Drosophila melanogaster: one gene and its partners. The protein of the gene in region 2 purifies or fractionates together with the protein of the main gene of each other region. This does not show direct contact. Each region holds a gene or a part of one and is shown on either strand. Other genes may lie near its edges.

Region 1 (7,649 bases), on a different chromosome or scaffold from region 2:
CGCAAGGAAACGGCCCATTCCGGCAGATGACCAGCTGCCTGACGAGGTTCCGCATAGCCCTCCAGCAGAGCTTCCGTATCATCGTGAACACAGAACACCACCCAGGAGCACTCAGATTTCTGAAAGACATGTGATGTAGTAACCAGACACTAGGCGGAGTCTTTCGGTGCCACCCACCTTGGGCCCGACGGTCAGTCGTTTCCCATCCGCTGTCAGCCGTTTGAGCCATGTGTTCTTGTGAATTTCCCGGAATTGGGCACCTGCTCCACCCCCACCAGCACCTGGTGCGCCTCCTCCTCCGCCTGGGGCAGCCGCGGGCAGTGGAGCAGGTACACTGGCATTCCCGCTGGATGTCGCAGGTGCTGCCGTCGCCGCCGCTGCCATGACCGCTTCCCAAAACTACGGTGTGGTTTCCTGACTGGGATGGGCTTCTTTTGCATGCCTTGGGCTCGTTGCTCTCCGCTAATTAAGCCCACATTTCACTTGATGCGTTATTGGGCCACGAAATATGCTGCATTTTCTGGGAAAATCAACTGGGAAATCACGACGCCATTTTTGGTATCGGTATTTGGATATGGGTATCGGTATTGTTCCACACAAAACTTATCGAAAGTGCAGTGCATTAGCGGTATTCTTGAAATTGAAAACATTTTATAAGCAATAAAAACTTTATCAAATTTCAATTACTACAAATCATTGTTTATTATTTATCCGATTTTAGGATGTTTTTCTTTTATATTGCTTAATTACAAAAACCTTTCCGCAACAACTTACGTATACTATATATTCTTTATTTATTCGTGTAAAGTAATAGATTCGTATGAAAAGTATGTAAAAAGTTATGATTAAGCGTGCAATGAAATTTTGATAAAGAATATTTTTAATGTTTAGAGATCTTATTATTTTCATGCTCTTCCAATATGATATAATAATTCAGATGCTAATAAAATAAATGAAGATCAGTAAATTCGATTATCTTTCTGATTCACTTTCCATAGTATCTATGCAAGAAAAAAAATATAAAAAAAATAAAACTACCAAGTTTTTATGCCATAATAATACTTCTTTTTATTGAGATTTTTAAAATCATTTTTGATATTTTTTTTGCTTTGTTTTTTTGTATCTTTATATCACACGTAACGTAAGTAATGTAGTAGATCTTATAATGCTGTCTTAAGTCACTAAATCTAAGTTGATTGAAAAAATAGAAATTCATCTTTGTCTACATGCCGAAACGAATTTTAACGATATTAACAAATCGATGAGGGCTTTGTGCATTTGCATCAAACGAATTTTATACTTAAAATTACAAACTACTTGTTATTGCAGCGTTGTTGTTGTCTGTTGTCTCCTCCATTAACACTAGATATACATATTTATGCATGATGTTTGTATAAAGAGGCGTTAAACATTAGTATATCGATTCGTTTAGTTCACTAGATTATATTGGTAAATTACAAATATTGCGAGTCAGTAGGGAAGGTTAACAAGCGCTTCTTGTTACTTGGGCATAGAACGTACAACGAGTTAACAATGGTGAAAGATTAAAAAAAGATGATCAACTTAAATCGAGTGTAGACAGTGGGCGGGACGTTAAATTAATTACAATTTAAACTACGATTAAAGTCTTTGAATAGAATTTCAATTTAACGACATGACGGCTACAAATTCTTGGTTTGTTTCTAACACAATCGAGTCTTGTTTGTTGCTTACAGTTGCTTTAGCTGGAAATTGGCATAGTTTAGTTGTAGTTTAGATTTAGTTGCTTGTAAAAAGTCATTTGTTTTCGTTTTGTACGTTAATACCAAAGTTTTCACTAGCTTCAGCAAGCGCCTGCGTCTGCGTTTCTCGATAACATTTTAGGTTCGGAATTTCTGGGGCTCCGAATTTCACGGCAAACAATTCGGTTTTAACTCTAATTTCAATGTACTCTAATGTACGTGGCATAGTTGTTATTTTGTTATTTGTCTGTTCTTAGTTTAAGTTGTGTTTTTGTTTCTTTGTTGGTTTTTCTTTTAAACATATTTTTTGTATTTTTGCAGTGGTTCAGTTGTTTTTTATAAGGTTTTTTTTTTAATATGATTCGTTTGCATTTCGGTCGCCAGCATTTGGAGTTTGTTGGTATATTTAGTTTTCTTTTCCAGCATTTTGGTATCTAGAAATAAGATATTCATGAGCCACTGCTCCCAATGCTCCATCTGGCTCAACTTGGTCAGAATATCAATATCAATCTCATTAGCGGAATCTGTTAGTCTAGTCTTAGCAATGGGTCTTCAGTTTATCTAAGGTTTTTCGCGTATGAGGTCCACGTGGTACGGGTTCGGGGTAGTTTGTGATTCTGTGGCGGGCAGGAGATATGGGCTGGCTTTATGAGGCAGGGAAATCTATAACATGACAACGCGGAACAAACTCATCAGCCATCGGATTCAGAACAGACTTTTCAACATCACACTGGCTCTTGGGTAGTGCGGAAAGTGCCGTGTTCTGCTCGTCCGTCCTGAAATAAGCGATTGCAAATTAGCTTTAATTCAGCAATGTTAACCGGATAGCCACTACTCACTTGGCCTTCTCCCATTCGTTGATCTGCTCCTCCAGCTCGTCTTCTATCATGGCTTCAAAACACTCCTGCATAATCTCTTCCTCCTCCAGCCGTTGCAGTTCCTATTATCAGATAGCAAATGTATTAGTTAATTCGTTAATCATAAATAGGAGATTTAATCTTACGTTCTTGTCGAACTCCTCCTCGTTCTCCATCCACATGTATTCGGAAAAATCTGGCTCATCGTCGATGTCTGACAGCGACTCGTCGTCGTCCACTACGTAAATTATTTGATCCGTCCAGTCCACAGATGGCACTTTTAACAACATATTGGCTGTAAGGGATTTTGGATTACTAAAAGCGAACTTATCAACAGTTGGTCTCATATTTCTTAATATTTCAACGATTAAGCTCAAACTATGAGAAATATATTATATTAATAAATACAATTTAAACATTTGAATCTGAGGTGCCACGGAAATATGTCTATATATAAGGCATTCGATTGATTTATAAATTGCTTAATTACAACTTAATCTCAGGAGTTTCAGAGTTTTTCTGAGGTTCTCAAACATACATATTTCTTGTAGCCTACTCCAACGAATATTGAAAATACAAATTCTTCTGCTGTGCTACTGAATGAATTGAATGAATTTTTTTTTAGCTTCGTTTGACTTAGGCAGGCTCTTCTGTATTTAAACAAATCGTATTTAACCGGCAAGAAGCCGGAGCAGTTGTGTTTTCGTTCTACGAAACCGGTTTTCCGTCATTACCACGAGATAAACAAAACAAAAATCGCACCTATACAGGTGTAGTGGCTAACACTAATACCTATTTGTTTATATAAATAAGTGAACATTTTCTCTTTTCTTTTTGCGCAACGTTTTTTTGTTTAGTGATGTCTATTTTTTGCGTTGTGGCCGCGGCACACAAAAATTTGAAAACAAAGTGACTCAGCTTTTGGTGCAAAAGCGAAAAGAGCCCCAAATAAGTGGACATACTTGTATGCTATATACATATAATGTAGTCTATAATTCAGTACTACATCCGATTAGAAATGTATAGGCTCACAACTCGTATCACTTCTAGCCCCGCTAAACATTTTATGGCGTATATAAATGCCGCTATCAGCTAAAAACAAACAAGCAAACGTGTGAAATAACACGAAAGTCAAGAGCGGTATTTATGCAAAACGCAATAAGCCAAAGGCGATGATTGTCATCGGAGGAGTTTGTGGGCTTAGCTATCATGTTGAACGTGCCTGTAACGTTCGATTGTGTACATATTTTTATAATACAGTTTTAGGACATTAATATTTTAATCACGTAATTTCATTCTTTTTTACTCTGCTTACAATATTTGCGCACTAATAATTGCACGTCAGTTTAAGAGCAAATGTTTGACATTTTTTATGAATTGTTTGTATCGAAAATAATATATTTTGTTATTTATTTTTATTGAGGGCCTAGTTCGTTACCCGCGGCTGTGCGAATATTTGTTTACAGTTCTCCATACATAGGCAAGTTTTGCGTGAATGTTTATTCCACACAAGATAATGATTACTCTCCATTCTAGATTTTTATTGCCTTTGGTAGGTCAAATCGCACTATCAATAAATTGAATTTTTTGCGTCTTCCAACTTTTACTTATTTATTTATAAAAATCAGCTGCTTTTATCAGCAAGACAAAGTGCTTGGAAAAAAGAAGTTAGGATGGCAACTCTGGCCCTTTACTGGTGTACGTGCTGCCACACACACGCACACGAGTGAAGCACATCGAATTGCAAGTAGATGTTAAGTTAAGCGTCCATATTTTAAATGAAATTGCGAAAATTAAAATGTATTTGCACGGCGGACTTGACGAAATTCGTGCATACATTTAGTATGTAAAGTGAATATGCAGAAAACACAAAGGAGGCAACAACAAACACACACACAAATGGGCTCTCAAGTGCAGTGGTGTTGGTGTGCCCGATTGAATGAACCTCCCTCAACCCAAAAAAAAGAGCAACAACAGCAGCGGCAATGATAATACATACAGCGCACTGTTTCATTCAAGGTAACAAGTGTTTAAAGTTTAAACATTAATATTCTTGGGGTTCGTGTACTTGGAGTCTAGCTTGGCCCACGCACACGTACACAGGAAGAAAAAAAGTAGACTTCTAGCATTTAATGTTTTATTTGAAGTACACTCAAGGCAATAAATCACTTTACTTGGTAATTATAAATTCGAATTTCTACTAGTAGGTTTGAAAGATGATATATGTATATGTATATGTTAGGCATATGAAATGATTTTAAATTTTATTATATTGAGACATTTTGAAAAGCAATTGACTTTTATACCCTTGTATTGTAGTTAATTAACTGATAAAGTCATAAACTTTCTTTGTGATGTGCAATAAATAGCCTTGATTAATTTTATTACCATGTTAAACGAAATTTTTTCAAGTGTAAGTAGGGAACACCAAGGTAATGTCCGATCCGACACTTGGCCTTTATTGATTTGTCCAGAAGCGGTTTTAAGTGAACGTTTAAGTGTTTTGGCGGAAGCGCCAAAAGGTAAATGAAAAACCAGGAAGCCAAGTTCTCTGACTTCCGCCTTTCCCCGCGCACAAATAAATGTATATACATATGTACAATGTTTGGGATTATTTAATTTGTTTAATCCGATCTACTCACTCTCAATCCTGCCGAGAAGTTCGTCCGCTGTTGCACTGGATATTTTGGAGCCACTTCCTCCGGGAGACTTGTTGTTTTTATCGATGATGCTTGATTTTGTTGTTGAAGAGACTCTCCGTTTTTTTTTTGGGTTGTACTGAGAATTTTGCGTCGCTAGAAAATCGAGGAAAACACTGGTAATTTAGTGTTGCATCCAATCCAGATTGAGTCCACACGGAGAATTTTGATATTTCTATTGCGAAACGTATTCGACTATGTGCTGTGTGCGGAATCACGTCAGTGAACGTCAAGCAACCGAATTGAAAAAAAATTGAAATGATTAATAAAGCAAGGTGGAGAAACATCGATGGCACTATCGATGCATCGATACTCCCCTGCGACTATCGATGTCTTTCCACCTATATATAGTATAGCACAAAGAGTTATAGCATACGCTTTCTAGAAATATTAATACTTTTCCTAAAGCATTGTGATATATGCGATTTAGCACCATTAAAGTAGGTAAATGAGCTATTTCTTCGTCTTACAGTTCTCAGCCGGGACTCAAACCAAATCTATGCGTCAAATCAAACAGCTATCGATTGGCGTGTAAAGAATATGAGCATTTAGTACATTGACTGCCAATAGATGTCTGCTTTCACACATATTTTTGAATTATTGAATATTTGTGTAATTTTGTACTTGAAATGTAGAAAACTGGTCGTTGTGAAACATTTGTCAGCTTGCTTTATACAACGGTAAAACTATCGATAAGATTGAAAGATACTATGTGCTAGGCGCGGTTTTTAAAAATTTTATTTGAAGATTGCGTTGAAGAAAGTTCAATTATCATTTTAAACTAAATTGATATGTATATTGTATATTTACATTTATTTTGTTTTTATTTTAACACAATTAACTCTACATTTATAGTAAACAAATAAAATGCTTCGAAAGTACAAAAAAGTTAAAACATTTAAACAAATAAGTGCTAACTATTTGATTCCTGAGCACTTGGTGATGCAGTTTTCTCCATTCTGCTACGAGGATCCCAAGGTTGTAGGTTCGTACTGCTGCAAAATGCAAATACCAACATGGCCATCGTATTAAAGACAATCAGCGTCATCAACACCACATTCCACTCATCCTTGCTGCCCTGCGAGGTACATAAATAAATCAGTTTAATCATAAACTACTTGTATTTAAACTTACAGTGTGGACCAGAGCGGCCACAAGATGGGGAGCTAAGAATCCGGAAAGATGGGCCATTCCATTGGCCAATCCCGATAGCAATCCCGCGAAGGAGGGCGCAAAGTAGAGCAGCGTGGGCCAGTAGCCACTGAAACCCATATCCGTAGTGGCCATCATGAAGGCAAACATCACAAGTACTAGTATTTTGTCATCACAATTAGCCAGGATGATGACCCCAATCAAAGAAGTGGTCAGGATGCTGCCTGGTATTATAAAATGGGATATAAAAGAGAGATTGGTGATGTTTCTGGAGATGCTACGGAAATCTATATAGGAATCCACTAAGGGAAGGTGTTCTTTATAGATGTCTGTGGCACTCCGATTATCGGTATGCCTTACAGATCCCGTACAGCATTCTTCGCACACAATTCTGGTCAGGACCCACGCGTCGTTCCACATAGCTGCCACCCAGGATGCACATCACCTTCGAGCAGATCCCGCCCAGATACGGCGCCGCCGAGAGGAAGCCCACCTCGCGGAGATCGAACTCCATGGCCTCGCGCATAAATCGCGGCATCAGTTGCACAATCACCAGGAAGGTGTAGGTGTGGAACATGTGGGTCAGGATGAAGGCGTAGACGGGCGGCGCGGCGAGCAGGCTCTTCCAGGGAATGGTTACCACCTAAAAAGAAGCTAATTAATTTATAATTTTAAAGTTAAAAGTACAAGGAACTACTCACTGGCTGCCGCTGCTGTCCCAATTGACTCTTGCCCTGCCTCAGGTAATCCACCTCCTCATTCGATATCCTTGGATGTTGCTCCACGGTGTCGTAAACGAGAAAGCAGCAGGCAATGCCGAATGAGAGGCCAACTCCACCGACTACATAGAAGGACAGTTCCCAGCCGAAGTTGCTCAGATAACTGGCCACCGGGTAAACCAACATGGAGCCCATCAGAAGACCACTGTAGGCGAAGGACAGGAGCGCTGTTCTCTCTGTGGGATGAGCCCAGGTCACGAACAGTTTATACATTGCCGGATTTCCACAGCCCTGTCAAGTAGCAGGATCTATATATATCTATTAGTATCTGAATGATGCTATTCCTTACCGCCAGTAAACCACAGATGACCAGATCAACCACTCCGGCCTCGAAACTAGAGTGCGCCATTGCTGGGAGCAGTATGTAGGCCACAGCCTCGAAGATCAGGGACACGATGAACAGCCGCTTGCTGCTGCACCGATCTGCCAGATAGCCGGATA
Region 2 (9,111 bases):
AGTGTAATCATAAAAATCCTGTCTGCTTTTTTGTTGTTTATTAATATGCTTCATAAGTTGTTTACGCTTTAGCGCTTTTCATGTGTTTCTTGTATTTCTCATATATGTTGTGGTTGTTTAATATGTGTGTTGCTGTGTGTGTGTTTTTGTGTTTATATATATTATTTTTTTTTTGCTGTTTTTACATAGGTTTTGCCATTTTTTTGTAGTTTTTTCGATTTATGTTTTGTTTTCATTTGTCAACATATTTTTTCAGCTGTTGGTATTCTGTATTTTCTCTCTTTTTTCAAAGTAGCAAAAACTTGACTCTCATATTCTTGCGGTTTTCTTTTTCTTTCTTTCTTTCTATTCTTCTGTTCTCTGCACAGTTTGCTTTCCATTTTTTCGTTTTTATTTTAACTCTTTTGCAATTTTTTTGTTTTTTCTTTGCTTTTTTAAAAGTGTATGGTTGTCGCGTTTCTTTTTCTAAACAAAGCTTTCTTAAAGTTTGAATTTGAGAAAAAAGAATTGAAAAAAATTACATATCGCTTTCGTGTTTGTTGTTGTTTGAAAGTGTGGATGGAAAAAGTGTACGAAAAACTCAATATGTATGTAACACTAGAAACTTCTTTAAAATTTTTAAAACACAATTTCAATACTTGCAAGAAGCGGTTTACATGTATGCTTTGCTTTAATCTGTTTATTTTGCAATGGTTTTTTGGTGTTTTCATTATACGCATACAAAATAATATCGATCCAGTTAAAGCAATAACGAAATTTTTTTCATTTCACATTTTTCCGTTTTTTTTTTTAATTAACATGTTTATGTAAAAAAAAAGAATTTATAAGTGGACTGCAGAATTTGATTGCGTGACTTTCTTCTTTTGCTTCGTGTACTTGCGTAAATGCGTTCGAAATTAAATGATTGAAATTGCTTTTGTTGATGTTTCTGGGATTAGAAAAGAAAAAGCCGTAGATTTTTCGCTTTGTTTTTCTGTGTTAATTGTGTGTCCTTGGCAATCCTCCCCTGCGCAAAGCATCAGTGAATGCGAATTTTTGTTGTTCATGTATTGAAAGATTAGTGGAAAACTGCAAGGACAAAAGAGAGGCGAGTTTAGACAGCTTGAACTTTTCGGAAAATTTGTAGACTACTTACTTTTTGGGTGTAAAGTGTTCTTGTAAAATGTTCATACGCTTGAGCTGTTCGAGCTTAGTTGGCGGGCTCGGTGACGCGGTGCACCTGAAGCACGGCCACAGCCTCCTCCACCTTGGCCTTAAGGGCCTCCTGATCCTCGATCATGTGCAAGAGCTCAGAGTTTTCGATCTCCAACAACATGCCGGTGATCTTACCAGCCAAATTGGCGTGCATATGCTCAATCATCGGATACAGACGCTCGCCCAGGATCTGTTTCTGCTCCTGCGGCTTGGCGTTGGCCAGCAACGAGGCAATGAGCTTCTCAGAATCTGCAAGAAAAATAGCAATGGTGCCATTAGTGACAAATTGTGCATATTTTCAGTCGACCTAAAACTTACTCTTTCCTTGCAATTGCTGTGGAATTGGCTGGGTCTGATGCAACTGTGGCACTGGAGGATTGCGCATGTTTGAGGTGTACTTATAGTTGGAAGTACGCTGCTGGGCACCGCCAGCGATTTGGGCTCCGGGGATCTGCATGTTGGGTGCTGCAGTTTGCTGGCCAGTAATAGCGCGTGCTCCAGTGTTGCGCATGTTGTTAGCCGCAGCAGCGGCGGCATGTGTGCCCTGCACCTGAGGCTGTGCCCCGCGAGCGCCAGCAGCAGCCGAACGGAACTGAGTGGGCACCGCACCGGCTGTGCCCTGGAAGCCACCAGCAGCGGCAGCTCCGGCCTGGACACCCTGTATGGCTGCTGGGGGACGCACCTGGGGCACCCAGCGGGGTGTGTTTCTCATCTGAGTGGCCACCTGGGAACCGAAGAAACGCTGATTTGACGGAAGGGTCGGCACAAAGAAGCCGCTAGCCGCGTTGGGCTGGTAGATCTGTCCCAGCTGCTGCATACGCATGCCGGTCATGTGACGCATGTACTGCGAGGCGAGATGAGCCTTGCGCTCCTCCTTCCTTTGGGCCAAAGCAACGTACAACGGCTTACTGCCGACGACGCGACCGTTCAGCTCGGTGACGGCGCAGGTAGCCTCGCTTGCGGCATTGAAGCACACGAAGCCGAATCCCTTGGAGCGACCCTCCTCATCGGTCATGACCTTGGCCGATGTGATGTTGCCGTATGGAGAGAACGCGATGCGCAGACGATCGTCATCGATTGTGTCGTCCAGGTTCTTAACGTACAAGTTAACGCCGAACACAGACTCGTGACGCTTCTGCTTCAGTTCCTCGAACTTGCGCTTCAGCTCCTGCTGGCGTTCGGCCTTCTTCTGGGCACGAGCCACGTACAGGGACTTGCCCTCTCCCATGTCCTTGCCATTGAGAGCCTGAACGGCCGCCTCAGCAGCCTCTGTTGTCTCGAATGCAACGAATCCGAAGCCCTTGCTCTTGCCATCCTCCTTGGACATGACCTTGTAGCTGGTTATCTTGCCGTAGGGCTCAAAGAATTCCTTCAGTTTTTCATCGTCGAAATCCTCAGTGAAGTTCTTCACATATACATTGGTGAAGAGCTTAGCCTTCTCGCCCAGCTCCTTCTCGCGCTCCTTGCGCGGGATGAACTTACCCACGTAGACCTTCTTGCCGTTGAGCAACATGCCATTGACTTTGTCGATGGACGTGTTTGCGGCCTCCTCGGTCTCGAAGTGGACGAATCCATAGCCCTTTGAGTTGCCCTTTTCATCGGTGGCTACCTTGCAGCTTAAAATGTTGCCGAAGGCGGAGAAAGTGTCGTAGATTGCCTTGTTGTCGATGGCCCTATCTAAGTTCTTGATGAACACGTTGCCCACACCTGAGCGACGAAGAGAAGGATCACGCTGAGACCACATAATGCGAATGGGCTTGTTGCGAACCAGGTCAAAGTTCATGGTGTCCAAAGCACGCTCAGCTGTTGATGAAAATCGGGAAAACATTTGGTTACTACCGACACGATTTGGGTATATCAAGATCATTATAAGTTGAAGGGGCTTAAATAACAATGTGACTCTTCAACTTCTGCACTGGCCATGAGCAAAAGCAGCGCAGTGCATGGTAAGTCAAGTCTGATCTTTTATCTGGCAACTATGAATCTTAGTCGTGTCAAAAAGGGTTGAATCTGACCAACCAATGGGTAGGAGTTGCTAGATGTCTAAATACAAGGACAATCTTATCAGTCTAATCATGTGATACATTGAGTGTTTGTTATGCAGATGGTATGCAAAACCCATCAGCATGGTAAGTCGCATTGCTTTCTCTGGCAACTATGAATCTTAGTCGTGTCAAAATGGGTTAAATCTGACCAACCAATGGGTAGAAGTTGCTAGAAGCTTAGATAAGAAAGGGCATAATCCTTCGAGTCTAATCATATGATGTATTATTTAGTGTTTGTTATGCTTCTACTTCTGTGGATGGCATAGATCAGCCATCTACATGGTAAGTTGCATTGCTTTCTCTGGCAACATTGAATCTTAGTCGTGTCAAAAAGAGATAAATCTGACCAACCAATGGGTAGGAGTTGCGAGATATGAATCGAAAAAAGAAAAACATTTAGGGTGTTACTAGTCTAGAACGAGATGGTATCATTTTTGAAAGGTCTGTTTTTCCAACCTAACCTTAACAGCTAGAGTTCAAGAAACTTGCTGGAATGCGACAGACTTTCACACGCAGCGTAATCATCACCAACCGCCAGCTTTGTGCCATTGTGCGCTTAATTGAATAAACAAATGTAAGCGAACAACGGGAATCGAAGAAGCACCAACTATGCGCAGTGAAAGTTTTGTTTTCGTTTTTTGTAAAAACAAGATTTTGATGGTTAAAAGAGAGGCCGAAAAGCAGTTCACTGACATGTCAAGAATTTGGAAGTGTTGATGGATGGAATGCGGAGAGTATGGAAGATATGAGAAAGTGAAAGCAAAACAAAAGTTGGAGGCAGTACGAAAACTAAAGAGCGAACGTGCGGAAACTCAGTTAATGGAATATAACCTAAAATAGATGAAGGCCAAAAAGAAATGGTCCAAACAACAATGAACACATGTTTTTGCGCGTCGGCGTGTGCGTGCGCGCAAGTTTGCCGCTTGGAAACAACACACATCACACGAATAAAACGAGAAGAACGGGCAAGGAAACAATGAAACCACCAATGGGCGGGGCTGCGATAAGCAGTTTGGGCAGTATGGAACCATATTATTCCATCATAATTGCAATTTTGTGCGAAATTGAGACGGAAATTTCTAGGCGAACAGTTGATGAGTGCCACGAGCCAGCTGTTTAGCCCCCATCATCCCCCCGCACAAATCGTATACATCCAGAATAACTGGAACTGATATAATCATGTGTGTGTGTGTACACACTGGCGGGAATTGAGTGCGTGTGTGTGTGCGCGACGAGATTAACGTAAGCAGTGCACTGTGGAACAAGTTATGAAACACTTGGAAGCCGTTTATCTGGTCTCCTATGAAAGACATCTTTCAATAAAGTCCAGTTTGGACTTGCGTTTAGCCCCACTGTATGACATGCGCTAGTGTGCGTGCGTGTGTGAGTAAGCGAGTGCAAAACTGCACACGTGTTTTCTTTGTTTCGCGCGGAAGGGGGCTACTTTTGCGGGCAGTAAGACTAAAAAAATTACACTACTTTTGCGGGGATTACTCACCATCGGCTGGCTGCTGGAAGTTGACGTAGGCATAGCCCAACGAGCGACGGGTAATCACATCGCGGCAGACACGAATGGACAGCACTGGACCAGCAGACGAGAACTTGTCAAAAAGTCCCGATTCGTTGACGTCCTGTGGGAGATCACCGACGTATAGAGAAGCCATATTTGGTGATCAGGTCTACCTGCAATTTTTAACAATTAATTTCCACTTTTTTGACACTGAATTTTGGGTTTTTTCTTAATCTTTACGGACCGGATGGATTCGACCAGGCAGGCGGTGAAATAGAAAGAAAAAAAGCGGCGTGGCTTTCGGTCTTCTATTCGTCTCTCTGTCTGTGTGTCTGGGTGGCAACACTGGTACATGTGACAGTCGGTAGACATGGCAACGTTGGCATTTGCTTTGTTGTTGCTCTTTGCTCTCCCCTTTTATTTCTCTTCGTGTTGGAAAATTTCCACACAGACACAAAGATAGACACGCGTTTGCCTGATCGAATTTTGGGGAATTCTTTGATTTTCTCGAAAATATGCGACAACTAGTTCCTAGACCACTATTTTGCGGGCAATCTGGCGTTTATAGACGCCATCTTTGAGCGAAGAACGACCGCAAACAAAGCAAATTTCGATGGGAAAGGAAAATTTCCCTATTCGCTTTGTCGTGCGTTGCGCCCTCTCACTCTCTACACCATTGTAACCAATAGCTTTACACTGTACTTACTTCTCAAACACGCTCGATTTTTTTTGCTACTTTTTACAATTTTTTTTGTTACGTTTTTGTGTTTTAATATTTTTTTTTATTTTTTATATGTTTTTTCTTCACAAAAAATATGTGATAAGCCGTGTGCTGAAAGCGAATCCACGACCGCTCACGTAAACGGACTCTACACGACTCATAGAGAGGAGATTCGTTAGCGATGACCCCACAAAGTATCGATTAAATCCCACTGCACAATGCTGCCACATAGGGTTAGAGACAAATAAATGTCACTAAAAAATCCGTGAGGACAATTTACTAATTACGAAGCATTATTTTGAATTTCAAAAAAGCCAGCCATCACACATAAAAAATTTTTATATTTAGCTAATTCCCGAAACATGAAATACTTGTGCATTTTCAGGGGTTCTTTGGTAACTCTGCTTCATTTATGTTCTGATATTTTCGCCAATGTCCTTGAATACTTTGTCTCATAAAACACAATCCAAAATTAGGAATGCAGTTTTTTTTTCTTTTAAAAATGAGCGTAGACTTTTAGAAAATGATTTTTTGGCACTGCACAGATATTAGCGTATGCTCCGAAAACCGAATCCCATCTTTGTAATTCCCCACTGTGCGAACTTACCTAAATCAGAGAATAAAGCGATGAGGCTGCAAGTCGACACTCCGAGAAGTGCTTGAGTACTTCTTTTCGTTCTCGATGGAAATCGGCACTACAGAGATTGAAGAATTTTTTAAGTTTTTTTTTTGTGTTTTTGTTTTTACGAAATAGACCACATTCAAGGATGGCTGAGGATAATTTTTTTTTTCTTTTTCCCGTTTTGAACGTCTGGTGCATGTGCCCTATCTGGCGATCGAGTACCTAATGAAGCGGTGTGAGGCGTCGGTGCCTGACAAGCTTCAAAGCGAAGTGTCACTTTGGGCGCCTACTGGCGTGTCCTGAGTAAAATCTTAAAAGATTTGACATTTCGGAAACATTTATTTGGGCATTATATACTTCATTAAACATATTTCGATCTGGTTTGGCCAAACATTTACTTGGCTTGAGAATTAGTTTGCTTTCAACTCAATTTTGATTTTTCGTAGCATTTAATAGTTAAACATAAAACGTACTGGCTTAATTCATTATTGTGTAGTTTTGCCTAGACTATGGGTGAAAATTATTGAACTAGTCCTACATTTTATTAAATTTGTGTGTATGTATGTATATCAATTGTTTTTTTTTTGTATGCATGACATGATTTGTGAGTTTTCCCATTTGAAGGTATATTTTTCAAAAACATACATGGGCGTGGCGTATCGCTAAAGTACAGTACTGAACTTAACTGAATTGTTCTCATTATTTAATACGTTTTCATTCATCAGCGAATTTTACATAGGCTTCCAGATTAATCTTGTAATACTTTTACCAATTTTGTGAAAACTTATTTATGTTCTGCTGCAACACTTAACTGCCATTGCACAATTATAACCTGTATTCAGTTGCTTTTTGCTTTTTTTTCGTTTTTTTTTTTTACAATTTAACATTTTATCGCTTTAATGCTGAACCAATATTTTGAACAATCTTTTTCTATTTTGGCAGTGGGTTGGTAATAAACTTTTAAACATTAACAAATAAAGAGGCCCGTAGTTGGCAGCGTTCATTAATACATAATAACGAAAAGAAATGATAATGGAAATGAAGAATATAAAATTCATAATGAGTCGGTATGCCAAAGGGTTCAATTTCCAAGCAATCCAATCGCCGTTGTCGCTGTATCTCCGCCCCACTCCACCAGGTACTGGACCTGTCCATTTCCCATGCGCCGCTTGGCCCGAATGGCAAAGGGCTCACCAGCATCTATGCGATTCATAGCGCCACCAAAGTACTTGTTCACCGACTGCTTCAAGTCCAGCATGGAATGTCCTGGGGCTCCAATGCCGTTGCTGCTGCTGCTGGTTGCCGTCGAGCTGGTGGAGTTCCGGCGGCTTTGGCTGGGTGACTGCTTCTGTGGTCGCTGGCGCAACAGGCGCCCATGTGTCGGCTTTCCCATTGGCGGCGCGGGTGGCTGCAGATCTTTGGCATAGATAGGAAGGTAGTGGCTGGGTATGGGATTGATGGTGGTGGTGCTGATGACCTATTAAGTGGAAACGAAAAAAACATCTCAAACATTATAGTTACATTGTTGTTAGTTAAACTCTTACCTCAATGGCCGTGGTCAGGCGGCGAGTGCGTCGTCTGCGCACTTCCTGATTGGGCCCTATCGTAATGTCTTTGGCACTCAGTCTTCGCTTGATGGTGCGCACCATGCGCGGCTGCTCCTTGGAGGTGCCCTTAAGCTTGAAAATGCTGTTTATGATGCCATTTACTCCGACTCCAGTTCCCACAGAAATACTTCGTCCCTGCGACGCCTTTTTGGGAGTGGCCATAAGGAATGGATTGTTGCGTCCCAAAAAGTTGACCGGCGGTGGTATGATGAGGTCCAACGAACTGGTTCCCCGACTGCTGCTTGAATTCTCGTCGGATGATAGATCACAGTGATTGCGGCTGTTGTCATAGCGTTTGGACAATCGGAAAGCCTTGCGCTTCCGACTGCTGTTTGCGTCCAGCAGAGGTGGAATGGGAGCTGGTAGTTTGCCGGGATCGCCATCGTTGGCATTGTCGTCGGCGAGGTCCGGCTTCAGTGGCAACTCATCATGCTTATCGGCCTTCTGAGCGGCCTGCTTTTTGGCCTTCTCAATAATCTGTTTGATGGGTATTTCGTCCTCGCTGGTCTCGACTGGGTCATCTTCATCTGTATTAAACTCATACACATCTTTGGGAACTCTTTTCGGAAGCTCGTTGGCACCTTCATCAGGCTCCTCGGGCATGAGCATTAGTTTAAATCTTTTTTCGAGCAGCTCATCGGACAGCTCCTCGTGGGGCTCAAGGAATACCTTGGGAATGTGTGGCGGGCCACTGTGTCTCAGTGCATAGAAGGCCGGAGCCCTTTTAAACTCCCTGCCGCAAACAAATCTGTCAGAGTAATCCTTAAGGGTTTGCTTGAGACGCTCCATCAGTGCCGTTTCGGGCAGTGTGCGCCACTTCTCGCAGATAGGCAGCTGGTGGCGCTGCTCGAGTATGAAGGGCCAAATGTCATTTAGCAGGTGATGGTACTTCTGGTGCTGATGCTTTCGCAGATTGTATAGTGCAATGTGGAGCACATCCACCCATTCGATTTGCATACGACGAACGAATTCTATGCCATTGTTGCAGACCGTGCAGCAGAAAACAAAGAACCTAGACAATGAGATTCATTTCAGTTTAGATCACAGTAAAGCAATTGAATACGTACATATCGCCGCGCAGCAGCTTCTTCTTGAAGTTCTGCATGCATTGGGTGTGGAACCAGTTCCGACATTTGCAGCACTGCAGCATATTGTGATCGAATTTTCCCGGTTTGCCGCAGTAGCAGTAGATCTGCTCTTCGTTGACCCGATGCTTCTCATCCCAGCTGAGCTTATCCGCCTGTGGGTAAAACCGGATTAAGAATCTAATCCGCTGGCTTGGGTTCGTAGAATACTCACATGGTAGGGCAACTGGCGACAAATTCCCGCTGGTTTTGTGATCTTATGGCTGACAGGCTGTTGCATTTTCATGGGTTTAGCGCAGCGTTTGCAACTCCAAATTCCACTGCCAG
Region 3 (8,982 bases), on a different chromosome or scaffold from region 2:
GGCCAGGGATACGGAGGTGCTGCTAACAACGCGATGCGCCTGGGTGGCGCTGCTGGCCAAGGGAACCGTCTGCCCCACGCCGCCAAAAATAGGAAATAGTTCTTCGGATCGTAGTAATAAATTCTTTTCAACCATTTCAAGTCACGTATTTATTATTAAAAAGTTGACATTTTTACACAGTCTCGATAATTTCACATCACGAGGTTTTCTTTGCTACTTATTGCCATGGTAATCTGTCTTTTATCCAGCGAGCAATTGGAATGAGTTGGTTTCAAGTTTGAAAAATCACTGGGGGCTTCACTATTGCCAAGCAGACTACACCCTGAACGGGGTTTATTGGATACTATAATTGGATTCATGCGGACACGTCCGGCGCGGGGAGACGGCATCCAAGTGTTTCGCTTGCTGCACAAATGCTTTTAGTAGGCTGAATTTCACTGGACCGTCTGTTTGTTTGTATCATGTAGTTTCATTATATTCGAATTTTATTTTGCCTATATTTACTTTAAGAAATATTTAATAAAGAGTACAGGTAAACAAATGTATTATTTATATGTATTGTAGCTAAACGAATTGACGGCTTTTTAAAAACTCAAGCATGCCCTGAACATTGGCATTGACCTGTGGCGGCTGCGTTTGTTGTCCGTTCAGCAAACTATTGGGCATCCCCATAGGAAGCATTTGCTGTGCCTGGTTGTTGAAACCTGCAAGTACACAATCCGATGCATTTTAATCGACTGTTGATATGTAAACTCTTGGTTGCCCCACTTACCACCACTCTGGGAATTTTGCTGTTGAGCCAAATGCTGCAAAAATAAATCCTGTTGCTGCTGAGGATGTGGGGGAATTTGGTTTTGTGGAAAAGAAGAATACTGTCTAAACGAAAGTATAGCCGGATCCATTGAAGTCCAATCACTGTTGTTGTAAACTGTTGCGAATCCAAATAATTTGATTAAACAGTTTTCTCGGTACCAAAAAATGTAATCATTTCAATTACTTACCCTTGTTGTGAGCCATTGGATGCTGCAATTGCGAATCACCCACGGGCTGTCCCGGGTTCTGGTGCATGCCCATCGGCGCATTCCAGTTGACACCCATTGGCATTTGGTGCTGTCCCTGGGCACCGCTGTTGCCCACCCCATTGACGGGCATGTTCATGAAGGGTATTATTTTGCTGGTGAGCTGCAGTCTGGATGCACCGCCCAAGCCCAATGTGTTGACGTGATTGAAGCCTGGCGGCGGCATGCGAGCTCGCTGCAGGTTGTCCACCAATTGCGGATGGGGTGGAACTTGAGGCTGTGGCGGCAACTTCGGCAAGGGGTTCTCATTATTAATACTCTGTTTTTGGACCACCTCATTTTCCATAAGTTCAGCAAGTCCCTTTTGGGTCTCAACGAACGGGTCGAATCCTTTTAACAAGCAGAATCAGTGAAAAGGCTTTGAAGTGAGATATAAACAAGGTCTTACCTAAGTCATCGTCGACTATCGAGTTCTGTGTAAACCGATTCTGCTGAGATTGCGTGTTTGGAGGCTGGAAATCGAAACAAATATGATATTAGCATGTTGCTTTTTAAATCCATTTGAAATCATTACCATAAATTCATACATTCCCATCATTCTCTGCTTTTGTTGCTGTTGCTGCTGCTGCTGCTGCTGCTGCGAGTTAATAAGTCCTAGGATAACAACGTAAATATTATTATTGCGGGCTGGCCAGCAATTTCATTGTAAAGTATGTCCCACCATTTTCGACAAAAGGCGAATTCAGTCGATTGCTTTCCAAAGAGGCCGCCACTCTTTGCGGCTCCGGCACAGCACCGTTCCCATTGATTTGAGGCGGATGTCCATTTAGATACTGATGGTGTGACTGCGGCTGACTTTTATGGAAATCGAAGAACTTCGACATGTTGCCGCCAAATAGATTTTCGCCTGCGTGCTGTTGTAATAATTGTTGCTGAATGATTGCATTGGCTTGAGCTCTGAGCTCATAAGCTCTAAGGAAATCTAAAAGGAATTAATTACACAATTATTAAAGTTGCAGTACACCACAGTAGGAATTCACCTACCATTCGCAGGACCGTTGATTTGCGTCGCAAAGTTGTTGCGTTTCTGTAATTCTTGCATGCGAAGGAACTCCTCCTGTTGCAACACCAGCTGGTGGCGCAAATTCTGATGCTGCTGCAAATGTTGCTGCTGCAACAGTTGCTCCTCCATGTGCTGCGTGTTGCCCATCATCACATTTTTGAAGGCTTCCTCCCACTCTGTTTATGCAAAGGATGGATAAATTAAGAATAAATATGAGTTAATTCAAATACATGCTTTAATAATGAAACCATTACCGTTTGTATTGGATGCCTTTTGGATTCCATCAATGTCTGTTTAAGCCCGTTGATATTTTTTAGCAGTACCGAAAAATGAGAAAAAATAAATTAAAGAATTCTCTTTATTTTCAAAGATTCGTAACTTACCGTTGACCAAGTCAGGTAAATGAGACTGTCGCATTTCCAAATCTAGCTTATTCTTTAATATGGGTGCTTGCTGGAATGATGGCGATGTGAAAAAGCTAGGCGTGTCATCGAAAATGTTCAGCTTAGATAGCGCATCTGCAACGGAAAGTGTTAGCAAAGTGTGGTGGACTAAATGGATAAGGTACAATACCTGTTACTCTGCTTCCATTATCCGCCAGACTCGGTGGTTCGACTGGATCAACAACGGGTAAGCATCCTTCGACTTCTCCATTGCCTGGCGCAACTGCAGCGGGACTGATGTCCTCAGAGGACTCAGCTGTTGGCAGAATCGTTTCGGCCTCGACAATTGCCTCGTTGCTCTTTTCGAGCTCCTCCTGAAACTTTACACTTTCTTGCTGGCTTTCCGAATTCACACTATTGCACTTTTCCTCCACATAATCACCAGTTAAACTCTTCTCACTTAAGCTACTCTCAGAGACGTGTCCTTCGCTATTTTCGCTACAAGAGCTCACAGATCTTTGAACGTTTGTTCCCGCTAATCTCTTTTGTGGTAAGTTATCTTCACAGCTTTCTGTTACTTCCGCCTTCTTTTGTCTTATTGTACTCTCGCTTGTTTCAACCCGCTCCGCCGGTTTACTTGCTGCAGGTGCTGGAGCAGCTTCCTTGCTCTTCTTCTGCTCCTTTGCACTAGCCGTGGTCCGATCTTTTCCACGATCCGCCCTCGTTCTATTGCTAGAGGCTTGCGGCGGTTCTGCCTTGGTGGAAGCCGGTGCATCCGCCGTAGCCTCTGCGAATGTCTCAGTACTTGTGCTGCTTCTCGTTTCGGGAACATAGTTCTCCTTGTTCGAGGCATTGGCGTTTGTATTGCTGCCGTTCTTATTCTTCGCCTTGTTCTTCTCGTGCCTCTTCTCGTTGCGCAGCTTTTCCCGTTTACTTTTCCCACTGGAACTGGTCGCAGTGGCAGCCGCCTCTTTGCCATTGATGGGCGAGACCGATAAGCTTGGCCAGGCCTCCTTTTGCTGGGCATTACCTGATGCACTTGAACCATTTGTACCCGATCCAGAGGACGAGGATGACGCTGACGATGACGATGGAATCGCGACTGATTGGGTATAAACATTATTAAGTCATTTAGTATGTAGCTTGGCTGAAATTACCATTTGCTTTAGAAGCTCCATTACCATTTACAATACCTGTTGCATTCGGTCCCAATGACGCAATTAGAGTATCGTGCAGGCGCTTCTCGTACTCCAGGTGCTTTCCCTGATGCATTTCCTTTAAATATCCGGACATAACATTTAAATACGGACAAATTTAGTTATCTCACAACTTACCTCCTTTGTGAAACTGGCCTCGGGATCGCCCAATTCATGTAAGTACATGCAGTCGCCCTTGGGACACTGCTGGTTCTTCATGAAGTGGCTACAGTATTTGGTTGTCCCCAAGCTGGTCTTTATAAGCCGACCGTCTATCATAATATTATTGACGCTTTGAATGGCCCGCAAGGCATCCGAGTTATTAACATATGTGACATACGCAGAAGCAGATGGACCCTTTAAAATCGAAAAAATTTAAATAAGCAATGATGGCAGAGTGTGAAACGCGATTCGGTGGACCGAAAACTCTGATACCCTCGCAGTTTTATAGAAAGCAGGTTTATCAAATGTTACGCTTTTTGATTTGTATACAATAATCGGGGTTATTCTAAAATAGACTCTTATCATAATTGGTCAAAAGTTGATTTTTTTAGCATAAGCACGGAAACAGAACGTAAATTCCGATCCATTTAATCATAAATTAACAAGAAATTTTTGCATTTCGCACACAATTTTGCCTAAAATAAAAAAATACATATATATATTAATAAAAAAGGTTAAAAAATAAACTTAAACTTCTTGTTATAAACAATGTTCGCTTACCAGAGCAGCTAACAACAAAAGGTTCAAATTCATTTTAATCGAAAATAAATTTTGGTAGATACACGTAAATCTGTTCAGTTTCATTGAAAACGTGCCATTATCAAAGTTTTCATAGAAACCACCTAAAAATGACTAAGCAACTCGGGTATTGGCCCATTGGGCCATATGAATGTATAGAGGTAATAAATAATTGAATCTTACAACTCTTACCTGGACCCCGGCATACGTGGTACTTGGATTTATAACGACTTTATGAATTTTCCCATATTTACCGAAATACTCGTGTTTCTTTAATATCTGAAATGGCAATTGTGAGTGGGTTTGCTGTCGGTTATCTATGGCGCAAAATCAACATACGTCTGCATCAGCAAGTCGTGGCGGTAGCCCCACAACGAACACCAAGTTCTTTTGGACAACGCGAACGTTGGCCAAGTGTTTGCGGTTCTCGGTGATCTTTTGTTTTCGTTGTTGGTCCCTTTGGCGTTTCTGGGACTTGAAGGCAATCATCTAAAGAAGAGTAGAAGTTAGTGGAATGAATACGAGGTGACCACGACATACTTCCTCCTGCGACAGCGGCTTGAAGTCAGCTGGATTCTCGGGATACTCCTTTCGGCATGCCGGACACAGCTTGTTCTCATCCGTGCGGATCCTATGCCAACAGAATCGGCAAATCTGGAAGCAATAGCACTTGAATACGCTGCTGATAAGGGTGCTTTAATGACAGTATGTACCTGATATCCGCAGGTACACGGAAAGAAGGTCAGATCGTCCACCTCAAGCGGCTCCATACACAAAGGGCACTCGACTGCATCATCATTGCTGCTCAGGCCGTTCATTTTCAGGTGATTTGTTGATTAGTGATGAAGTACTCGCAGTTGTAATTTTTATAAAATTGTTGATAATGATGAGAACCAAGCTGTAGAAAGTAAATAAAATTTATATGTATAAATAATATATATATATATATATATTTGATTAGGATGAAGTTTTGTGTGTAGATTCTTAAATCTCAAGGATAGCTTTTGTAGGATGGATTTTCATCAGATTGGTATGAACCTGCATTGAAATAAGAAGAATATTCCCTTGTCTTGTACTTCTAAACTATGCATATATGATTTTGTCTACCTAAAACACCTAAAAAAAAGGAAGGCATGCGATCTTTATTAGATGAATCACCCCGTTATTTTGCACACTACGAAAAACAAGTTGTGGACATTTGGCACCTGTAGCTGACCACTTTAGTTAATATCCATATTTAACACTTTTTTTGATAGTTGCGATTTGTGCAAAATTGTTTACATACTGCCCATTGTATTCGTGGTATTGTTGACTTTATGCAACCTTTGAAAAAAGACAATTTAATGCGACCCGAAGAAGGTGTTTGCCGTCAGGTAATTTTATTGTGTATATACACACACACGCATATGCCTACAACGCAGACAAACAAACACAAAAAGTATTTTTAAATATGGATACCTTTTCATAACAAAAATCAAACCAGCTCGGAAATATACGCACTACCTGCGTACATCAATAAGTTCTCAAATTTAAAACGGAAGCTCTCTTTAAAACACAATCAAAAAGAAAGTACAATTTTCAAGAGTTTAATAACCGAACATGTGTGTGAGTATGGCGACATGCAAATACGTGTGGGTATTAAGCAAAATTACTAGAATTTGCATCGATATTTGCGTATGCATTGTAAAAGCACTTAATATGTGTACATCAGCAATTTGTTAATCCACTATATACGCACACATATGCGAGTGTTTATGTACATAAGCGTACATTGTTCACGCTGCACTTATTTACCAAACCACAGCTGTGATTTATTGTTTATTAATTATGGCAAATCACGAACTCGTATAAAAGGGTAACGAAAATCGATTTTTAGACAATAACAAAAGGCTGGTTGGAAAGGAAAACGGCAAATGTTTAATGTACATAAGCAAGAGTATATATACATACACATATGTATGTACACGTAACACGTATGATTGTAGGTGTGATGTAGGTTTTCTTTATTCACTCTGAATAGCTGATGAAACGACGTTGCAATGGTTAATTGTGTTTTTGAACGCTTTTTAATTTTTATAAATACTTGGTAGCAAACGTATCAAACGAAAGTACTAAGGCTAAAAATAAACGCAAAGTAAACGAATGGATTCGCCAAATTAAAGACTCCAATTTTTTCCACAAGAAACATTCGATTTTTTTCCACAGCTCAAACTATCGATAATAGCAAGCGAAAAAATCACTTCACACGACTGCATTTGCGTATTTCAGATATGAAAATATAGCTAGGTACTAATTTTGTATGTGTAAACAAAGTGACCAAGAATAATGCAAAGAAATATGATATTTGATGCTTTTTCTGCAAAATTTTGTTGTTTACATTAACTAATTTAATAACTATATTTCTATTAATTTTTCATTTATCATCGTTTTATTTATTTATATATGTATTTACTTTTTTTTGGCAACTGTAAATATTAATAACAATAAGAGAACTCCTTAACTCTTTGTATTATTTAAAAATTTAGTAAATTTGTAAGGAGCAACATAATCGATTATTTTGCCAAAAACATATTGCGTTGGAGTCACGGCTACTTTTATTCAAAAAGTAGTGACTGGAAAATAATTGTGAAAAGTAACAGGTTCCCAATTGGCGATCCCTATTTACGTTTTTACTTGAAGTTCGTCCGTGGAGCGTTGCACCTGTGAAATTCTAAAATGGTAAGCTTGCCGGCGATTTCTCGCTACGCTCGTATAGTATATATCATCAAATTATTATTAATAATCTGCATATTTGATTATCAAATGTGAAGAATATGCATACATATGCATTCAAAGTGCCGTACACAATAATGTGTAGTTATGACGGTATGTGTGATTGGTCGCAATAATTTTTCTGGAAATTTAACATTCATTTGACCTCTCTTCATGCTAATCTTAAAAACCAAAAACCTTAGTGACGTCAATTCGAACGTATGCACAAATGTTGCATTTTCAGAGGCCCCCAAAAGCATGAATTTATTGCAAATGCGAGCTAATTGCCAATTGACGGCGATAAAAATGTTGTTTTCATGTTTTAATAGCTCTTGCCGGAGCAGATAGAGCTTATATAAACCGGATGATTGGAGGCGGTGAAGCAAAGTCCATGCAGTTCAAATCTGTCATATCTTATCAAAAATGCTAAATGCTCCCAGGGGTTACGCTTCCAATTGTTTGGAAGTTAAAAACTTCTTCAATGACAAATATATAATATAAAAATATAATATATGTTATGTTTAGTAATTCCCGTCTTTAGCTACATTTTACTGGAAACTATGCCCTGTGACTTTTCTTTAGGGCAAAACATAAATAGGGGTCAATTGCCACAAGTGGCCTACTTTTAGTGCCCTTAGGAAAGGATTAACTGGGATTGCGTAACGAGGATGGGCGGAAAATGCACTAGCAAGCAAAAATCAAAGCACATCACTTATAAAATGTTTTATTAAATCTATAACTATTGAAAATGCCAGCTCAGAGATAAATGGAGAGGAAATTTAAGAGTTCTAGCTAAAGTATAAAGTATAAAGTAAATTCGTTATCTATCGTAAACAACAAATGCAAGCTGATAAAGACACACTTCAAAACAGTAACAAAAAACCTGGTCACGCATTTGTTTATTTTCAGCTATCATATTTGCATTAATTTTGCTGAAATTGCACTTAAATGGGTTTTAATTCGGAAATGGCGAGCTGGATATATACGAAGTATTTTGTGTAGTTAGCAGTTTTCGCATATATTTCCTCGCCGCTAAGCGTCTAAAAATAAAATATAGATCCAAAGCCAAAGGCTGGATGAAAAATTCGCCCCTTATTACAGTATAATTAGTTTAGCTGCATCTAAACATAGCTAAGAACATTCTTGAAATAAAATACGGAAAATGCATAAAGAAATGGAAAAAGGAAGATGAAATACACTTAAAGGAATGTTCCTAATCGAGTGAATATATTTTCAGGCTGAACCAATTCGTGTTGTGGTGACCGGAGCCGCTGGCCAAATCGCCTACTCCCTGCTGTACATGATTGCCCGCGGCGAGGTGTTCGGCAAGGATCAGCCCATCGTGCTGCACCTGCTCGACATTCCGCCCATGGTTGGTGTGCTCGAGGGCGTGGTCATGGAATTGGCCGACTGCGCTCTGCCGCTGCTGGTCGAGGTGGTGCCCACCACCGACCCGGCTGTTGGATTCAAGGATGTCTCGGCCGCTTTCCTCGTGGGCGCCATGCCCCGCAAGGAGGGAATGGAGCGAAAGGATCTGCTGTCCGCCAACGTGAAGATCTTCAGGACCCAGGGCCAGGCTCTGGACAAGTTCGCCAAGAAGGACGTCAAGGTGCTGGTTGTGGGCAACCCGGCCAATACCAATGCCCTGGTCTGCTCCTCCTATGCGCCTTCCATTCCGCGCGAAAATTTCTCGGCTATGACTCGCCTGGATCAGAATCGCGCCACATCCCAGATCGCCGCCAAATTGGGTGTGCCAATTTCTGCTGTTAAGAACATCATTATTTGGGGCAACCACTCCTCCACCCAGTATCCCGATGCTGGACAGGCCA

Evidence for each region. Proteins that work in one complex are often made in the same cells at the same time.
Region 1: the proteins of pAbp (region 2) and Paip2 purify together in Drosophila melanogaster (affinity purification with western blotting; 2 studies listed by BioGRID). This does not show direct contact.
Region 3: the proteins of pAbp (region 2) and Cnot4 purify together in Drosophila melanogaster (affinity purification with western blotting; one study listed by BioGRID). This does not show direct contact.

What each region holds. Positions count from the first base shown.
Region 1 is NT_033777.3:12,978,959-12,986,607, reverse strand, and holds Paip2 (polyA-binding protein interacting protein 2), read right to left. Parts: upstream 5,563-7,649; 5' UTR 5,221-5,562; intron 2,874-5,220; 5' UTR 2,869-2,873; coding exon 2,725-2,868; intron 2,662-2,724; coding exon 2,561-2,661; intron 2,498-2,560; coding exon 2,368-2,497; 3' UTR 1,120-2,367; downstream 1-1,119. Other genes in the region: CG31342 (uncharacterized protein), read right to left, coding at 1-119, 178-384; CG7091 (uncharacterized protein), read right to left, coding at 6,191-6,355, 6,412-6,653, 6,790-7,072, 7,131-7,439, 7,498-7,649.
Region 2 is NT_033778.4:18,137,299-18,146,409, reverse strand, and holds pAbp (poly(A) binding protein), read right to left. Parts: upstream 6,333-9,111; 5' UTR 6,078-6,332; intron 5,634-6,077; exon of another isoform or gene 5,456-5,633; intron 5,036-5,455; exon of another isoform or gene 4,994-5,035; intron 4,923-4,993; 5' UTR 4,904-4,922; coding exon 4,738-4,903; intron 3,609-4,737; exon of another isoform or gene 3,472-3,608; intron 3,411-3,471; exon of another isoform or gene 3,268-3,410; intron 3,232-3,267; exon of another isoform or gene 3,086-3,231; intron 2,998-3,085; coding exon 1,513-2,997; intron 1,444-1,512; coding exon 1,190-1,443; 3' UTR 1,136-1,189; intron 1,069-1,135; 3' UTR 175-1,068; downstream 1-174. Other genes in the region: Pcl (polycomblike), read right to left, coding at 7,174-7,569, 7,637-8,711, 8,767-8,939, 8,999-9,111.
Region 3 is NT_033779.5:10,394,353-10,403,334, reverse strand, and holds Cnot4 (CCR4-NOT transcription complex subunit 4), read right to left. Parts: upstream 6,620-8,982; 5' UTR 6,353-6,619; intron 6,157-6,352; exon of another isoform or gene 5,688-6,156; intron 5,335-5,687; exon of another isoform or gene 5,301-5,334; 5' UTR 5,221-5,300; coding exon 5,116-5,220; intron 5,057-5,115; coding exon 4,943-5,056; intron 4,892-4,942; coding exon 4,742-4,891; intron 4,682-4,741; coding exon 4,586-4,681; intron 4,019-4,585; coding exon 3,800-4,018; intron 3,741-3,799; coding exon 3,623-3,740; intron 3,568-3,622; coding exon 2,656-3,567; intron 2,601-2,655; coding exon 2,466-2,600; intron 2,373-2,465; coding exon 2,337-2,372; intron 2,259-2,336; coding exon 2,064-2,258; intron 2,002-2,063; coding exon 1,741-2,001; intron 1,674-1,740; coding exon 1,594-1,673; intron 1,532-1,593; coding exon 1,468-1,531; intron 1,410-1,467; coding exon 1,002-1,409; intron 929-1,001; coding exon 773-928; intron 705-772; coding exon 565-704; 3' UTR 129-564; downstream 1-128. Other genes in the region: CG17768 (uncharacterized protein), read left to right, coding at 1-99; Mdh1 (malate dehydrogenase 1), read left to right, coding at 7,118-7,120, 8,391-8,982.